2 linked regions of the Struthio camelus genome follow. The protein of the gene in region 1 interacts with the protein of each later gene in a biochemical or structural test. Links are inferred from orthologs where the notes say so. Each region holds a gene or a part of one and is shown on either strand. Other genes may lie near its edges. The genes, in order: CTSB and cystatin-B.

Region 1 (9,803 bases):
CCAGCCATCATTATCCAACCACTGCTAGAGGCAGGATGTGGCCCAGCTGGACCTGCAGTCCGTAGATGGGAACATATAAAGGCGACTAATTCCAGCACCTACAGCTTTAGCCACTGGCTGAGCTTCCTGCCAATTAGGGAGTTAGAGGCCCAGGGCTAGGAAGACGGGGCTGAAACAGTACCAACATTTTTGGTTTGTGTCCTCTCACCTCCCACTCCCCTTTTAAGGGCACAAACATCAGTAGTAACTCACCCCATGCCACATTCAAAGCCACAACACGACAGCAAGTCCTCTGCCGAGACCTCCACGTTCACCTTGGCATTCGTGTGAACACAGATTCTGTCCGAAATGGCCTCTACAGCCCCAAATGCCTGTGGACAGTCCCAAAAACAAGCAGAGACCATTACATGCTGGTCATGGGAAAGACAAAAATACACCTCAGGTTCATGGTCCACAGGGGCTCAATGGCAGGAGGGGAAATAAGTGCAGAGTCTAGCCAGGAGAAATCCACATGCAATAAGCTTGGACACTGCACCCACCCCCTACCACTCATGCCCCAAGGCTTTGAAGGTCACTGCTGGACTAGAACAGACACTCTGTCCTGCACAGAAGGGTGCCACATTGAAGCAGTTAGATCCAAGCCTTGGTGGACAACAGGATGAGAAACTCAGACCTGCAAGGAAACTCATACAGCAGCAGAACCAATGGCTGCTATCTCCTTGCACTGGAGGAAGTCTCACTTCCTCCACAGACACTGTGAGGAAGGGAAATGCAGCCTGCAATCTATGCAGTGCAGTAGCAAACTCAGCAGCTTACTTTTTCTGGCAAGTGTGCTCTGTACCAAAGCAGCCATAACCATGCAGCAGCAGCCGCCGCCAAAGTGATCTTACCCAGCAAGAGCCACAGGAGCCCTGATCTCTTATCTCATTGATGGTTGGGCAGTTGGGCCACTGCTTCCGTGAGTCAAAGTTATCTGGCAAGTCCATATCTGCAGCAAAATCTACCCTGTAAGTGAGAAGAGATGAGGCTTACATCAGGGTAACAGGACTGGGTGCAGAGGCCTCTCCAACCTCCTCTGAAGAGGACCTGGAAGACAAGTGAATCTGGGCAGCCAGAACACTTATTTGCTTACTAAAGGAAAATAAATATTTCTGAAGTCCTCAGGCCAGGTCAACAACTCTCCAGTGTGTTCTAGTTCAAGGATTAGGAGTTAGAGGATTGCTCCAACAACCTGCAGGATACAGGGCAGAAGTTCCCCCTGACACATGCTCCCATGCTCAACCCTGTGCAAGATGCACACTAAGAACCAAGGAGCAAGCTGTGGAAACTACACCCCCAAGCAGCTGCTATTTGGGTGTTACGACATAAGAGACAGGATCAAGCCTCTCTGCAGGCTCTGAGGCTCACTCTTGGCCTCTCTGTCCTGCCGTCAGGCTGCTGGCTCCCACAACAGGGGAAGAGAACCCTTTCAGAAACTGTCCCCCTTTGGGTAGGCTCTGACCTCAGGCAGCTTTTTGAAGCCCTGAACTCTTCTGTGGGTGGGATTTACCTTGTTTGCTCTCTGGCTCACCCTAGGTATCAGCTCTCTACATGGTCAGCTCTGGCAGCTTGCAGGAACAACCATATTGTACCCTCTTCACACCCTCTTCTTGCAAATCAAGCATCCAGTCCCAGAGCACCCCATGCAGAAGCATGCAGGGGGACCCAGCTCAGAGCCTGTTGGGAAAGGGCCCTCACCCACTGCAGACTTGCACAGGAGCATCCACACAAGCTTTTGCAGGGCCATCATCTTCCTTTCTCCGATTACTCACCTGATGGGGAGCTTGGGCCCACCCAGGAATGTGCCACAGAGCTTCTTCACATAACTCATGTCAGTGTTGTGGAAGTTGTGCCCTGCCTGGGAAGAGACAGAGTGACTGAACATGACTCTACAGCCACTACGTGCAGTCCGCAGCCACAGCATGACTAGCCTGGGGCTCCAGATCTTCCTCGAACCCAACCTGTATCTGATACTTGCTTTTAAAACCCAGAGGCCAAGAGCCAAGCTGCTTACGGTGACAGGACAACACAGCCCCTTCCAGGAACAGGGCACTGTGGCCAGTAAGCTCAGGTCCAACTCTAAGCTTTGGCCACAGCAGCATGGCAAAGCCAGGTTTGGCCAGGTTGGCAATATACTTCTACACTTGCTGTTTGTTTCCACTGCCCTGCAGAGTTCCCTCTCCTCTCAGCATTACTCCTAGTCTATGAATTCATCAGTGCTCTGCTCTAAGGAGGAGGTGCACAATCATTGTCACTGCAGGAATCCCTGATGGCATCAACTCATTGGGGAGGCCAGCTGGGACCCAAGGCTGGTTGGAGGCAAGCACTGTGATGAGACTCCCAAATCACAGCTGTTGAGTCCTATGGAGAGGAGGTCCCACAATCTGTCCAAAAAATCCCCTGCACTCACCTTCCAGGTGGTGTTGAGCTTGTTTATGTGGTTGACCAAGTCACTGGAGAGGGGAGGGTAGTGAGGAATGCTACGGGCATTGGCAAAAGCCACCAGGACACACAGGACAGACACAGACTTCCACATCTTGGCTTCAGAACAGGTTCCTTCACCTGCAACACAATTTGGTTATCATTTGCCTGAACACCAGCAGGAAACCATCCCAACCTGAGGTCAGACTGCTCTGCTGCAAGGAGGATCTGGCAGGGCTTGGCAGAAGGACTGCTAGCAGCTGTTTACCAGCAACACACAGGAGGATAAAACACATGCCTGCACAAAATCCCTCCCAATCCTGATTTACCTAGAAGGTCAGGAGCAATGCAAGAGTGTGCTAATAACTCCCTTCCTGCAGCCCAGAAGAAGTCAGACAGGGCAATGCTGTTTGGTCAACTGCTGCAGGATTAACAGCAGCAGGAAACTTGCTTTTGAAGCAGGTCCAAGGGTTTGTGTTTGGAGGGTCTCACAAGCTGTTTACTTCCAAGAAACAGAAGAGCTAAGGACTAAGAGGGATTAAATGATCTACCCCACATCAGATCCCAGCAGAGCTGTAGCCCCCGTGTACTTGCTAGCCCACTATCCTAACACAGCACTCTTCCCTTTGAGGGCCTCCCTCCCACAGCTCCCCTCCAAATCACATTTCTGGGCTCTACAGCCTCATTTGGCCAGTCTATCACCCTCAGGACCCTAAACACAGTCACATCCCCTGAGGGAAGGGATTCCTGCCCACAGAGAGGAGGCCTAAGCCCTATAGGAACAGTCCATCACTACAGCCTATACTCCCCTCCCGTGTGGGACTTTTCCACAACGGAGGTTTGACACTGCATCCCTTGGCACAGGGCACCAGGAAAGTTCCAGGCTGAGGAAGAGAGTCACAGCAGGGGGAAATCCAAGAGCACAGCAAGAGTCAGCCACAGGCCTCCTGCCTCCCACATGGAAGCACAACCACAACATAGGTACAGGTTCAGTTTTGCCACCTGTGTACTCCTCAGCTCAATCAAATCCTTTAAGCAACTTGACCCTCAGTTTAAAGCTTGCTAGTGCCAAGAGGAGATGCTCCAGCCTCACCTCCACACCGCCTTGCACCACCTAGGCATCAGTTCAGCTCACTCATCCAGCAGAAAGCTAGTCTGCTGGACAATGGTTTGGAGGACAGGCAGTCACACCACCACTCCATTTCTTCCTGCCTAGTTTTAACCTAATTTAAACCACCCTGCTCCATTTTAACCCTTTTATACACCTACAGCCGAAGCAGCAACCCTTCACACTTCTCAGCACCTCTGCACCCAACTCAGATTGGTTGGACGGGATCAGACATCCAGCCGCGTTATGAGCCAATCAGCCTTTGCAAACATGCTGCGGTATCCTCCTCCACCCACAACCTCCTGGCTCACTTTAACAAAGCTCCATCAGCCCCAAGCTCCAAGCCTGACTAGCAACCCAAGACCTCAGATACTCAGCAAAGCCCCAAACAGCAGAGACACTTAGGCCCCAATTCCAACTCATCTCAGCGAGTTAAACATGTAATCATCTCTCAGAGGCTGCACTTAAGCCCTTCTGGGCTAATATGCCTAAGCAGCCAAATAACTACCAGCAGCAGCTGTGCAGTCTCATGGCAGCAAAGCTTTCTGAACAGCCAGGTTCAAGCTGACGACGGACAGAGGCACACACATCTCCACGCATGTTGCCTCCACCCACTCACAGCCAAGTTTAGCCTTCCCAGAGAAGAAAACCCAGCAGGACTGTCCTACTTTCTGCCAGCTACAAGCCTGGGCAGTTGCAGCTAACCATATAAAAGGGCTTTTATTTTTCCCCTGCCACCATTCACTTTAATGTGGCCTCTTTGTGCTTTCAGCAGGACGCTCTGCTGGAAAGCTAGTCAAGTTTCAGAAATACACTGTCCCTCCTTCAAATCTCACTTCTTTGAAGAGGTTTTACATGTATTTGTGTGCTTAGAGGTTTCTCACAGACAACCAACTTGGTGGTACTGCCAGAGGACAGGTCTCCAAAGCCTCCAAACCTTCTCTTCTTGCCATGTTTTCCTGCTTAGCCAGCAAAAAGGTTACACTCAAAGAAAATGCACTTTTCCAATGCTAACATGGTTTTTGACTACTGACCCTTAAACACAACTATAGAAAGCCTACAGGCGACCATCTTGGGCTGAAGTGGTGCAAAGCAACTTCTTCAGGATCCCTGCCAGCTCCTTGGGCTAAGCCACATCACAGGCTTTGCTGCATGGAAAACAGGTCCACGGTGTGTTATTAGCGCTGCTGGCAAGTCCCCAGAAGCCAGTTAGTGAAGGGAGAGGGTCTACCATAACTTTATTGGCTCCCACTGGGAAGAGGGCTCCTCGTTTCTGTTACATGGGTCTAAAAAAAGGCCTTGCCTGCTCTGCTGGAAAGTCACAACATCCAAAATGACCAAAACACATGCTGGAAAGCCACAGGCTTATCTTCCTATATCTACACACAGCCAGAACAAACTGAACTAGCAACAGCTGAGCTGGGTCCAGAGCACTTAAACCCCCACCCAACACACACTCCTTTCTGCCCTCCCCAGGCTTTAGGGGCCTGGTACATATTTAACCAGAGTTTAGTCAAATCCCTCTGCACTCACAAGATGTTCCCTCACCACCCCATACCACGACCATTATAACACCACAGGGCATCCATTCCCTCAGCAAGGTCACTCAGATGGTGCAACAACCTGGCCACATTCAGGGGAAGGTGTCAGGCCACATCTCCCTGCAAGGCTCCTGGTGAGCAACCAGTAGAGACAAACTTCCACTACCACCAGCATACTGAGCATAGCTCAGCTCTGAGACTAAAAACTTCCTCTACAGTCTTTAAAACCCTCTACCTTCCAGCTGTAAAGTTTCTATCTTCCGTAGCACAGAAAGGAGGCACTTTTGAAGCCAGGATCCATTTGATACAGGTTTGTTTTCATTCGGACACTTGTGGATTTGATGACATGCCAAAAACCTATTCTGCAAAGCCTCCTGCACCTATAAGGCTGCTTGCCCAGAGCTCCTGACAGACAGCCTCAGGAGAGCTCACATCCTCAGGTTACAAGATCACAGCCACTGTCAACTGGGAGCTCCAGTCAACCCGAGACTGAGCTGAAAAGAGATACCCTCTTTGCAATGCAATCCCCCCTCTGACAGACACCTATATTTTAAGCAGGCTGCATGCTTGCTGCATTGCATTTGCCCCACAGAGTGGCTCACAGCCAGCAAACCCAGCAGGAGAAAGCAGCTTCATCTCCCAGTGCAACTCATTAGCTGGGAGCTGGTCAGTCATTTTAATAGAAAAAGTCTCTTGCCAAATCTCCTGTGGGCTCAGTGCCAGAAGTTTTGGGGGGCTCCAACTCAAAGCAAGAATCAGTTGTCAGGTTACTGCTGGATTACATGGACTATCCCAAGATTTGGGTGGAGAAGGAAGGGGAAACCCTTTGATCTCATGTGATTTGTCCCTCTATTATGCCACAGCTAAAGCAAGTACCCTGTGTATAACAAATCTATATATAGAGCAAGAGCAGGCACAGGACTTGCGGGACCAATTTCTGCAGACGACTGCAAGATATTGAGTCACGTGCACCTGACAAGTCAGAGGCAGTCATCAGGCAGCTTAAAGGCATTTGAGAGGCAAAGCAGAAGTAAAAGCAAGGCCGCTAGCTTCTGTGATCATTCCCTTTCCCTACAGATAAGGCCAAGTAAGACTCATGCAAGATAAAGCTGCCACGTGAAGTATTTCCCCATCGTCACTATCTCTTCTGCACATGCTGTTGCTCTGCAGGCAGTTGGCACCTCATGTCTTTCCGTCTCAAAGCTTCATAGCAAATTCAAATACCAAAGGAGCCCAAAGAGCAGCACCAAAACCAAGCCTGAGTAGAGACATACAACATGGGCAGCTAAAGCTCGCGATTCAAGCAGCAGTTCCCTATCACTAAATCCCCTTGTCCACTACCCCACTGGCTCCATTGTATGTCCTACCAAGCACAGGACATGGCACCTTCTTCAGGCACAGGCTCAGCCTTCCAGCCCTGCTTCCCTCCAGGTAGCCAAGTGTATTCAGGAATCAACTGCTGCAGCACTTGCTCACACACCAGGACAACCAACCTATGCACACAAGATGCCGAAGCTCAAAAGACAGCAAATCTAGCCTGGCCACACACACACAGAGCACACGCAAGGCCCAAGGCCTCACAGTTTGAGGATGACTCTAGCAGAGGTTGTCTTCACAGGCCAAACCCCATCACAACCTCTTAGCTTGTGAAAAGGCAGCTGAGCAGGTTAAAAAAAAAAAAAAAAAAAACAAACTTATCTGTTTGACTTCTTCGGACACAGCAACTTCATCTCAGCAACCCCATCAGGTCCCAGGGAGACATTTGGGGCTTGCAGTCAGCCCTCAAGACCTGTTCCATCTCCTCTTGGGCTGGACCTGAGAGGAAGTACCCCACCAAGGGCTTTAGGATCCAAAGCATCTTAGTGCAGTCTCTCAAAAAGAAAATGAGAAATTACCTCCAAGAAGTAGCTACCCACAAGCAAGCTCACACCTGGCCCAGAGCAGGACCCACACAACTAGCCTTCTAGCAGCTAGATGCTCACTAAGAGGAACTTGGGCCATATGAGCACAGGCCTCAAGTTGTCAGCCAGGGAGAAGAGCCTCAGAGGCAGCACAGAGGCCGAATGCGCTCCAATGCAAGCCATTAAGAACAGCTCCAGCACATGAGGGAGGAGAGCACCTGCACTGAGATGGTGGCTGCTCATGCTGCACCACCTACACACAGGTCCTCTGCATTTCCTGCTGCTGTTTGCAATCATACAAACAGAGGGAAGGAGGTAAGGAGCTGACTTATCACCCAGGTCCCTCACTATCCCTGGGAGATTGAGGCTAGAGGCAGCTCCCTGCCTGCTTTCCCAGGGACAGGCCCACAAACACTCAAACCATGTTAAACCAGAGAGAAGAGCACGTCTGAGGGTCACGTAACCTTCTCCCATACTGCTGAAGCAGCCAAGGGAGATGTACCTGTACTCCTGAAGAGCAACAGGGGACCCTTTGCAGTTCACAGCAGCCCTAGCTGCAGAGGCCCACCAGTAGACTCTTCCACACATTGCCCAAAGATCTAAGAGCACAAGCCCCAGTTAACTAGGAATTTCTCTCCACTCCTTTCCCCCATGTTGCCTGTGCAACCAAAGGGGCAGGAGATGGGCTAGTCAAAGCACAGCTCACATGACCCAGTTTAGGCAGGCTAGGCCACAAGGAGAGTCACACCCAGAAGCACCTCTCAGCTGGTTCACAGCACCTGGGCCAAACCCCTCCAGGCACAGATAGAGGCACCCACCCACTCTATGTCTGAGAAAGATAAAAGCTGTCTCACTGTCACAGCCATAGTGCACCATCCCTCCAGGGTTAGAAGTACTCAGCAAAACTCAAGTCATGTGGCCTCCTCTAGCAACAGCCTTCTTCCCAAGATGAGCTTTGTCCTTTGTTCGGGCCAGCACTACACTGGCTGCCAGTATTTGTGCATGACTCTAAGCCACAATAAAGCAAGTGTATAAATAAAGCAACCCTGCTTAGCTTGATGCACTGAAAGTTTAGCTTGGTGGCCAACATGCACGCAGTAAATCTATAGCCAGGTGACTTCATTACAGCCATTACAAAGCTCAAACCACTGTCATCCTCCCCTCCTCTTTTTTTTTTTTTAAAAATATGCATGATCCCCACCCCCATTCCTTTTCAGGAAAGCCAAGCCTTTAGTACAGTCTGGATAACTAACAAAAAACCCTAACAGCAAACAAAAAAACATGACTGCATCTTGAGACAAGTTGCCCTAACAGAAAATGAAACTTCCAAATTCCTCCTTAATGGAACTGCACCGATTTTTCTTTTTTTGGAGAACAACTTCTTAGAGACTGATCCATAAACCAGAGTCTTACATAAGACCTCAGTTGCTGTAAAAGATACTGTAATAGCAATATTCTAGTTCACTGCCCTCATCAACACCCTCAACTTTGTGACCTGGAGGGAAACATAACAAGGAAGTGCTCTTTGCTCTATCAGTGCACTTCTTAGAGCACAGTATCTGGACCATTGCACCATAGGCTGGCATGAAACAGCCTTTCTTCTGCACCATCCCCAAGCCAGAGCCGTGTGCATCACGGGATGTTCCCAGAAGCACTTCGGCAGGTGCCAACCCGACCTCCCTAGCGTCAGCTGACGAGCAGGCCTGTTTTGTTTCAGTCTTCATTATGAGAAGAAGATTTCCTCTCTCCTCCCCCTCCACTTCCAGGAAGGTTAGTTGCTTCTCCAAGACACACGGAGGGTTAAGGGAATCTCCCCTGCAACAAAACATCACGCAGAGCCCAAAACACACCACAGCACCCCTCTCCAGCCTGTGACAGCTAAAAAAAAAAAAAAAAAAAAACAAGATGCACCCAAAAACCAAGGGAGAGACTACCCCAACGGCTCCACCGCTCGCACCCTCGCTGCCTGCAGGGGGGCTGGAGGGCAGTGCAGGGCTGCGGCCAGCCGAGAGGCATCGCCCCAGCAGACGCCCCGCAGCAAAGCCGGGATGCCCTCGGGGCGCCACCGCCTGCAGCCCCCCTCCCCCGACAGCAGCGAGCCGCGACCCGGCGCCGGCTCTTGCCCTGCCCCTTGCCGATGCAGCCGAGCGGGGGAAAAGGGAGGAGGAAAGACCCCTTCCAACAACCCCAGCGGGCTTGCCCCGGGGGTGCAACCCACCGCGCACGGCTCCGGCAAAGCAAAGCAGGGAAGGCCTCGGCCGTTTTTCCGGATGGCAGGGCCCGAGGTGTGCATCCCGCCCCCGGCACACAAATGCGCACCGGACTTTGCAGCACGGCGACCCCCCCGCCGCCGCCGCCGCCGCCGCCGCCGCCGCCGCCGCCGCCGCCGCCGCCGCCCGCACCCACGGGCCGCCCTTACCTGCCCCCGCCGCCGCGCTGCACCGCGCCCGGGCCCCCGCCGCGCTCCTTATGCGCCGCTGCGGCTCCGCTGCGGCCCGCCCCGCGGCGACTCACCGCCCCGCGCCCGCCCCGAGCCGCCTCTGCGGCCGCCAAAGGGGGCAGCTCCCAGCAGCTGAGTCATCCCGGCTCCGTCCCGCCTCCATGCCCTCGCCAACCCACCAGCATCTCGCTTCCACCCCGACTGCAGCGCGCGTCCACCCCGCCTCCATCCTGCTTGCATCCTGCCGCCTTCCCGTCTGCATCCCACCCCCATCCCACCTTCGTTCCACCTTGCGTTCCTCCTCCGTCCCGCCTGCATCCTTTCTCCGTCCCGTCTTCACCCTACCAGCGTCC
Region 2 (9,550 bases), on another chromosome or scaffold:
CTCACCTTTTGATCGTGGCAGCCAAAGAAGACAGATATTTCCAGCCCAATAGGCTCTAACTAGTTTCCTGTAGAGGAAAGAGATGGAGGCATCAAATTCCCCTCTGCAAGGGTCAGCGGTAGGCTTTGCTGGGTGTAGGGAGAGCAATATTGTTAAGACACGTCTTCCCGTAATGTTCCTAATTGAAATGAGAGTATGGTTGGAGTCAAGGGCATTGCCTGCTTTCCAGGGATGAACAATTTAAACACTTCTAAGATTCACATCTTTGGAGTATGAAATAAGCTCCCAAAGCACTTAAGGACACAAGCACATTTTTAATTTTCCCTGTAACAGAGACAGGCAGGATGTTTCAAATGATGATGGAAGAGTGAGAGGTATGAAGACTGAGAGAAGTAGATGATAAAAATGAAGGAACAAAAAACAGCAAGGGACAGAGCCTGTGTAATAGCTGATAGTAATCAAACACGCAAAGTTTTGCCAAGAAATTGATCCGAAAAGCCAGAGTGCAGGGGAAGGACTTTTTTTAAGCTGGCATTAAATGTCTTTTGTGTTTTGCTACGTAGACCGTGGGGACTGGTTGTTTCATGGTAACGCACTCCTAGATCTGAGAGGCCAGTATCTGATACTGGGAACCCACAGGCACCAGAAGGAAACACCCTCTGTATTTAAGATGAAGGCTTGTGTGCAGCCCCCATTTATCTCATCCCTCATTTCGACCTCTCATTCTAACAAACATCCTCTCTCCCTGTCACTTACTTTTCAGATGCAAGTGCTTGTGACAAATGCCCTGAGGATTACTGGTCCAATGAGAACCATACATCCTGCATCCCCAAGCAGATAGAGTTCCTCTCCTGGACAGAGCCCTTTGGGATCGCCCTGACTCTCTTTGCTGTGCTAGGAATTTTCCTGACTTCTTTTGTCCTGGGTGTTTTCACCAAATTTCGCAATACTCCCATTGTCAAGGCCACGAATCGTGAGCTGTCCTACCTCCTCCTCTTCTCCTTGCTGTGCTGCTTTTCCAGCTCGTTGTTCTTCATTGGTGAACCCCAGGACTGGACTTGCCGTCTGCGGCAGCCAGCCTTCGGCATCAGCTTTGTCCTCTGCATCTCCTGCATCCTGGTGAAAACCAACCGTGTCCTGCTTGTCTTTGAGGCAAAGATCCCCACGAGCCTCCACCGCAAGTGGTGGGGGCTCAATCTCCAGTTCCTCCTGGTCTTCTTGTGCACATTTGTGCAGATTGTCATCTGTGTGATTTGGCTGTACACGGCGCCCCCATCCAGTTACCGGAACCATGACCTAGAGGATGAAATTATCTTCATTACCTGCCATGAAGGCTCTCTGATGGCCCTTGGCTTCCTCATTGGCTACACCTGCCTCCTGGCAGCCATCTGCTTTTTCTTTGCCTTCAAGTCTCGAAAGCTACCTGAGAACTTCAACGAGGCCAAGTTCATCACCTTCAGCATGCTGATCTTCTTCATCGTCTGGATCTCCTTCATCCCTGCTTACGCCAGCACATACGGCAAGTTTGTCTCTGCTGTGGAGGTGATTGCGATATTGGCTGCCAGCTTTGGGCTCCTGGCCTGCATCTTCTTCAACAAAGTCTACATCATCCTCTTCAAGCCTTCCCGCAACACAATAGAAGAGGTGCGCTGCAGTACAGCCGCCCATGCTTTCAAAGTGGCCGCCAGGGCCACACTGAGACGGAGCAATGTGTCACGCAAGCGCTCCAACAGCCTGGGGGGCTCTACTGGCTCCACCCCTTCCTCCTCCATCAGCAGCAAGAGCAACCATGAAGACCCTTTCCCTCTACCGGCCTCCGCAGAGCGGCAGCGCCAGCAGCAGCGTGGGTGTAAGCAAAAAGTCAGCTTCGGGAGCGGCACGGTCACCCTGTCGCTAAGCTTCGAGGAGCCACAGAAGAATGCCGTGGCCAACAGGACCACGAAGCGCAGGAACTCCCTGGAAGCGCAGAACAGCGATGATAGCCTGATGCGGCACCGGGCCCTGCTGCCCCTGCAGAACAGCGAGTCCCTCAGCGCAGAGCCCAGCTTTCGGGCAGCTTCCAGCCCGGAGTCCAGCTCACAGGAGTCAGTGGTGGGAGACACAAAAGAAGAAGTACCAGGCCCCGAGGAGGAGCTTTCCCTGCCATCGGCTAACTCTCGAAATTTCATAGGCACTGGAAGTGGCTCTGTCACAGAGAACACGGTACATTCCTAACGAAAGAAGACCATGAAAACCACACCAGTCCCCAAGAGGAACTTGCTCACCTCTTGCTTCTGATTGGGAAAGACAACAAAGATACACATCTGTGACACAGCCCCACCACAGTTTATTGTTAGTGCTGGTAGGGTAACACACATGCCTCCAGAGGAAGGACTGTCTGAAGCCTGTGTCTGGGGACCCTGGAACTGAAACTGCATTTGCTTTATTGAAATCAGGACATCTTGGAAGGACAAGTGAAGATGGGCTCTGGTGGGGTTTAAGCAGAACTCTGCATGCTGCCTTGCCTCTGTAATCTTTTCCTGCCGGACTGCAACTCAGCTGACTGTGGGAGGCAATTAGGCAATTCCACTATACTCTGCTTTTACACTTATGTACATTATTTCTCTTTCCCACTATGTATAATAGTCCCTCTTTATCCAGTATATGTGATCTGTAACCATGTTCGTCAGGACTCTCCGCTCTACAAAAGCAAGATATACAGTTTCACTTGGGGAACACACGGTCATGGGGAAAATAAAAAAGCCCCCAACATCCTGCATGCTGTGTACAGCCAAGGGTGTGAACATGTAAAGTATTTAATGTGACAGAGCGCCCTGCTATTTATATTTAGTAATGTCCCAATCTCTCCTTTCTTCCCGCGAGCGGGAGCAGCAGGAAATACTAGACAATGCTCTTCATAGACTCCGTTACATTAGACCAAGCTACTAGGTTCCTACTGGTTTCTTCCAGCTGAGGTAGCTTCACCTCCAGCCTGACTGCTTTGGTGGAGGGGGAGAACAGCTTGTCATATCCTCCAGGAGAATGCTGCGAGAGCACAATGAGATGTATCCATGATTGATTATGTCACTAGTAGTTGTACGCTTAATGACGTGTTGCTGTTGTAATATTCCACGTGGCATACATGGCTAAACTTTTCACACCATAGTCAGTGTTGTGCTTTGCCATATTAATCTGCCTCACATCTACACATAGTATTGCGCTAGTCGTGACAATACTGGTGGGCTTGAGACAAAGCAAATGAAACAAGATGAAATGGAGGAGTTAAAAGATGTAGAAATATCCCCCCAAAAGTGATAATATGACTGCAAGGAAAGATAAATATTTGGAGCGCGCATGCTGGTAGATGACTGGATGAGGAAGACACATACAGGCCTGGGCTCTGAGACATGCACACTGATAAATGAGTAAATAAATGAGTAAATTGGGTATGTTTTGGCTCCTACAGGGCATCAGATGTCCAGGAGTTTTACTGGAGATGCCTAGGGTAAGTATTTCCCTCCTGGCCCACCTTGAAGAGAGGGCACCTAGTGCACTACATCTGAAGAGTAAGGTCTTCAGAAGAGAACACGTTCCTCTTGGTGCTTGTCTTACTCCCCCAAAAGCAGACATGAGTGCTCTTAGTTTTGCAAGGGTTTTTTTTTTTTTGCCTGGTTCTTCTCCATCCATACTGGAAAAGTTGGAAGTAAGAGTCAGTAGTAGAGATTTTTTTGTAGCTTGATGAGAGAAAGAGTGGCCCAAGAAAGCTTGGAAGGAGAGGGTGGGGTTACGCTGCAGAATTTATTTCCCTCTTCCCAGATGCCATGTGCAAGCACAAGTAGCTGGCATGAAAATGCCAGTTCCACCTCTCATCACACATGAACGTAGTCTAGAGCCCTGCAGAAAGCTATACAGGCCTGCAGCCTCGTGTGAGCAGAGTCCACAGGACCAGGTGAATGCCTTGGGGAGACTACCACAATTCTCTGTTTTTGCTTGGTTGTTCTTTTGCCAGGGCAGGCAAATAAAACTTACAGGTCACATTACTGCATAAAAATTTTGTTTTGCCACCTCCACTTGTTGTTGATAAGGAAGAGGAGTTGTGGCTTAGGAGAGTGCAGTGGAAGTTCGGAATCTCTAGGAGCATGATAGTAAGACAATTTCCTTCAACCCTTTTGTTGATTTGTTACATTCACCTTGCAATGGACTAAAATTTTATTTACTGCATATAACTGCATGAACCAGTCCAACTTTAATAGTATGACCTGCCAATTACAATATTTGATTAAAATTTTTGTGTGGCAGGTTGAAAAAAAAGTTTGAAAACACAAATCATTGTGGCCACACCTTTGGACATCAGATTCCACCCCTGAACCCAGTGAGAGCTGCTCATTGCTCCTGCAAAATCAAGTTGCTGAACGTGGCCTACGTCCTCAATTCAGAACACCTAGTTTAGACCCAGGGCTTCTTGAGTTTAAATGAGTGCACGGAGATGGCCACGAGGTGGCGGAAATACCTTTTTAAAAAAATAGTTGTCTATGGCCCAAACACTTCAAAAAGTTCAGTAGCCAAATAGTTTTACCGTTATCAGTCATTCATCACTGCTACAGGCCAAACTTGACACCAGAGTCGTCTCTGAAGCTGACAGCACTGAAAGCATAGATGCTCTAAATGAATTAAATGAGGAAGGCACAGGATATAAACTGAAGACTATACACAAAAACAAACACCATGAAAACCAAAAGGTCACCAGTGGCTGCCCTCTTTTCCAAACTTGGCACTATTCACAGGCTGGCAGGAGTACGATATTCACCACCTATGCACTCAGTCAATAATGTTGACATTTATTTCTAAAGTTTTGGGTGTTTTTAATTCTTTACATCTACATTAAAAAGATGGGGGGAGGGGGGTGCCCCGATGCATGATGAGGCTTCCACAGCTGCCAAATTTTATAGTGACAAATCAGCCCGTGCTCAGTTTGCGGATGAAGCCCCATCTGCTGCCAAAGCACGCTCAGCCAGCGCTGCAGGCCTCCTCAGGCCACAGATTGTGGAGACCCACTGCCTGCAACTCCTTGCAGTGGAGCACAGCTAAACACAAGGGAAGCTCAGAGGAAGAGGACCCTCTTTATAAAGGTGATGTGCAAGCAGACTTCTGCCATTCAGCATGCAGTACCCACTGCTGATGAATCTAGCTGTTAAATTTGCCATCTTAACCAAGGGGAGTAGGAAAAGGCTTTTTTTTTTCTTTCTTTCTTAAGGATCTGGCCATTCAAATCAGGGAGAAGCCAACATTTCGTTAGAGCGCTGAACATGCAGGCTAAAATCTCACCAGGGAGTTTCTCTCATTAGGTCCAGGTGTTGGCTAATCCACCCTCGTCTTTCGTTGCCCTGAGGAGCAGCAAAATCGAGCTGGAAGGTGCAATGCTGAAACGGCGAAGCAGAGAGAGTCCCAGCGACGGAAACTCTCCATGCTGCTAGAGCACACCCAACACGCAGGTGATGGACGCTGGAAGAAGTAATATACTAGGGAAAGGAAGAAGCAGCAAAGGCGAACAGCGTTGCCAGCAGCTGCTCCCATCCGGGGCTGTGAGCAACGGGCCACCCGCCCTCGCCAAGGCCTGAGCATAGCTCATCCTGCAGGCAGCTTTCACCTGCAAGTCTTTGCTGTTGGTTTTTTCTCTTCCTTTGCCTAGCGCTCTACAGCGTTTCCCGAGATGGGAGGTTTTCGGCGAAGCCCGGAGAAAGCTGGCCTCGCCGTTTCGTACGAGAGGGTATTTAAAAAAAAAAAAAAAAAACCAACAACACACGCACACACACACCCTACCCTGCTCTACCATTTTCCCGCTGTTACCGCCTCCCCGCGCCCGCGGCGCAGCCGACAAAGGGCCGGGCGGGGCCGAGCAGAGAGGCGGCCGCCGCCATGTTGTGCGGAGGACCCTCAGCGGCGCGGGCGGCCACCGCCGAGACGCAGCAACTGGCGGACGAGGTGAGGGGGGCCGCGGCGGGAGCCGGGGAAGGGGGGCGCCCGGGCGCCCCCTGCGCCGAGGCGGCGGGCGCGATGGCAACGTCCCCAGACGGCTTTATAGCACTGACACTCCCCCCCCCTTCCCCGCCGCGGTGTGCCCACGGCTCTACGCAGTGTCTCCTCCAAGCACACGTTTCCTTTGCCGTTCGGGCGTCCTTCCTGTGTAAACAGAGAGCGGCAAGACTGCGGTTGTAGGTTTAAATTCACTGCTTTGGGGGCTGCATCCCCGTGGCGGGGCGTGCAGGGTGTTCAGCCGTTGCTGGAGCCCGCCGTACACAAAGGAGCTGCCCCTCCCCCGCCCCTTCCCTGGGAAGCCGGGGGCTGACAAACGGCCGAAACGTCCTGGGTAGTTCTTAACGGTTGGGAAGCCGTCGCTGCGCCGGCTCGGTCTCTGCTAGCGGTCTTCCGAGAGAGCAAGCCCGAGATTGCAAGAGGAAGTTTTCGCAGCGTTTGGAGAGCGCCGTTGAGTGCCTCATTAGGTACTCGGCAGCTCTGTTCCTGCTTGTGCAAACTGATGTAGTATCTAGCAGTAATTTTAGCACGATGTGATCCGTCTGCTTCCCGAGGTGTAACGTTTGAGCTCCTAAAAGGTCTGTTTCCTTTCTCAAGAGGAAACAGGGCCTGGCAGAAGGAGCTCCCTCTCTCATGAAGGCTAAACCTCTTTTGGGGGGAGCAAATAGGCAAGAAAATATCTCTTGTTATTTCACAAAGCAGAATTCAGCTCTAAAAACTGGCAATTCCAAATATTGGTGCTCGTTATTGCATCTTAAATTGCTGTCCATGCTAATGGAACACGGGCGTTTGCTCTAAAAGTGACTATGTACAAGTGAGTTCTGCTTTCAAAACATACGGCCTTGTGTCAGTTGTGTGTAATAACCCTGAAGTGCCTTCTGCTTTTTCCTTTTATCATCTAGGGTTTGTCACACCAATTAAGAAAGATTAAGGACAAGTTGTAGCTTCTTGCGCTCTTTATCATCGCCCAGATTTGCCAGACCACAGCAGTTTCCACGCACGTACAAAACGCCCAAAGACAGCAGGACTGCGCAGTAGTCATTGAAATTAAAGTTTAGTTTGTAGAATGTGATGATGTTGCCTAAAAAGAGATGTATAACTTTTAAACACTAAGCTGAGCTTGCAGTACCGAGTACAGGATTGAGAATTGCTGAGGGATTGACAATTATTATTCTGCTCTGAAGAGGCCTGAGTGTTGTGTTAGAGATAAGGCTAGTGTGCAATTAACGTTGCACATGGGCTGAGAACTAGACTTCTTTAAAAACCTGGATTTCTGTTCTGTGGCAGGCTGCAGTGCTTCAGTAACCCAAAAACAGGATGAAGAGTAACAACCAAAGCAAACCAATTGGATTCAGAAGTGATGGAATTTGCTGAAAACCTGGCATTTTCATTTAAAACTAAATACTTCAAAGTTTGTCCAGTTTGTTTTGACTGCTCTTTTAAATTATTTTATTTAATGAAACATACATGGGAATCCTCAAAACTTAAATTCGCCTGTGGAATAGTATGCTCAGCTGGATACAGACTATGTCGAAAATGTTCTTTTTGTTAAATGAAGATAGGAGTTCTTGAATTATTTTGTTTGCTTAAAATCTAATCTTTTTGGAGATTTGTTAAGAGCCTGCCAAGTTTGCTCACCACAGATACATTTCCTGTGGCTGCTTTTCCAGTTATCATCTCCATCGGATTGTTTCCTAAAGACAGTGTAATGCTGAACAGTGGTCAAACTCATAGCCCTGGCAAGTAGTGCTGCTTGCCCAGAGGCAAGCAGCATATGCAGGTAAGCACCATATGCAGGTAAAGCATATGGAACAGCAGGACAGGCTTCCCTTCAACAGTGTCCCTGGCTTGAGAGTCTTCTAGGAGCTGTCTCTCTAAGGCAAGGATCGCAGCCCAGGCCTCTTCAGCCTTTGGAGGTTACTCAGGGTGAATTTTAACCACCTATCTTTTAGTGACTGCTCTGAGAGCGAGCAAGCAGGCTGTGCAGGACACCGCAGAGCCTTCGGGACACAATAATTTTCAGTCCTGTGATTGAATCGCAGATTCTTCAGGTGTGAAGGGGCCGCTCCTTCTGCTCAAAGCAGAGTCAGCTCTGAGAGCAGACCAGGCTGCTCAGGCCTTCACCCAGCTGGCTCTTGAAAACCTCCAAGGATGGAAACTGCACAACTTCCCTGAGCAACCTGTCCTCATGGGAAAAAGCTTTTCCTTATATACAGACAGACCTTCCAATTTCAATTTATGACCACTGTGTCTCATCCTTCTGCCATGGCCCTCTGTAAAGAGCCTGGCTCGGTCTTCTCAGTAACCTGTCGCCACTGGGAGGCTTTCCTGCAAGCCTTCTCCCCTCCTGGCTGAGGCGGGTGGAAATTGGACGCATGATTCCCGACATGCTTAACAAGTGCCAAGTAAAGGGCAGCAATCGCTTGCCCCTGCCTTCTGGCTGCACTCGTGCCGATGCAGCCTGGTATGCTGTTATTACTGGGGTGCACCGCTGGCTCAGGTTTAGTGCACTGTCCCCCAGCACCCCCAGATCTAGCACTGGGTCATTCACTAGCACAGCAGGTTGATAGCAGTTCTTGCAGGGAGCATTTCTCTCTGGGCTCTCCCTCTCCGCCCCCGCCAAGGATGCCCTTTTGTCACGGGCTGGGACGAGTCATTGCCATGTGACTCTGAGCTGGCTGCAGTCATGGAGCCCAGTGTTCAGCTTTCTGGTGGAGGTAGAAAATATGCTGAGCCAGGCTGTTTCCCAAACTCAAAAAAAAAAAAAAAAAACAACCTTGCACAGCACCTAGGATTGCTAAGGGAGTGAGGGACAGCAGAGGGCCAGCGATAATACCTCTTGTTCCCCTCTACCCCTTTCTTAAAATTTGTGATAGTAACTCTCTTGACAGGCACTGAGCTTACTTCCTCCCTCTTGTGAGTCCCAGTGGGAGGACTGAATTGCTGTGCTTTCTCCGGCTGCACCCTTCCATGCAAAGGTTTTGGGTTCGCTTGGATTTCTGTATAGCACAAATCTTACAGAAGAAAGCATTTAAATGGCATATGCTTACTTTTGAAGTACTGCTCCTAACCTGGAAGAAGCATAGAGGTATGACCTCTGAGAGAGGATATATGGTATGATCCTGGCTCCCAGGGACGGGATGGATGGCTAGTGCCTCGTCCTGCATCTTCTCAGTAGTGGGGAGGGAAAGGCCTGAGAACAGATCCCGTCGGAAGAATTGTTTCTGTTCCTACTTCATTGTTTCCTGGAGCACCTGAGAGTTTTCCCCCAAGGCAGTGGATGGCATGCAGGCAGGATGGCAAATATATTAATTCCCCTTGATTTATGAAGGAAGGGAAATAGCACAATATATCTAGAAAGAGAAAATCTGCTTGCTGCTCTTCCTGTTGTACTGGGAGTGGAGGGAGAGCTGCATAATGGTGTACTGCAGGAGGGAAGGCCTTCTGGGGAGCACTGAGCTTGCAGCAAGGACTCCAAGACTACTTCTTATTACCCTTGTAAACGAAGCTTGAAATCTTCTGCTTTCCTGACCAAGAA

Evidence for each region.
Region 2: the proteins of CTSB (region 1) and cystatin-B form a complex in vitro, tested with the Homo sapiens proteins (2 studies listed by BioGRID). The link is inferred for Struthio camelus from reciprocal best matches to the Homo sapiens genes CTSB and CSTB.

The regions. Positions count from the first base shown.
Region 1 is NC_090944.1:11,198,466-11,208,268, forward strand, and holds the start of CTSB (cathepsin B), read right to left. Parts: upstream 4,655-9,803; 5' UTR 4,640-4,654; coding exon 4,603-4,639; intron 2,602-4,602; coding exon 2,450-2,601; intron 1,898-2,449; coding exon 1,812-1,897; intron 1,006-1,811; coding exon 891-1,005; intron 372-890; coding exon 253-371; intron 1-252. UniProt on the Homo sapiens protein: Thiol protease which is believed to participate in intracellular degradation and turnover of proteins. Cleaves matrix extracellular phosphoglycoprotein MEPE. Involved in the solubilization of cross-linked TG/thyroglobulin in the thyroid follicle lumen.
Region 2 is NC_090942.1:91,152,205-91,161,754, reverse strand, and holds the start of cystatin-B, read left to right. Parts: upstream 1-5,237; 5' UTR 5,238-5,895; coding exon 5,896-5,961; intron 5,962-9,550. Other genes in the region: CASR (extracellular calcium-sensing receptor), read left to right, coding at 764-2,214. UniProt on the Homo sapiens protein: This is an intracellular thiol proteinase inhibitor. Tightly binding reversible inhibitor of cathepsins L, H and B.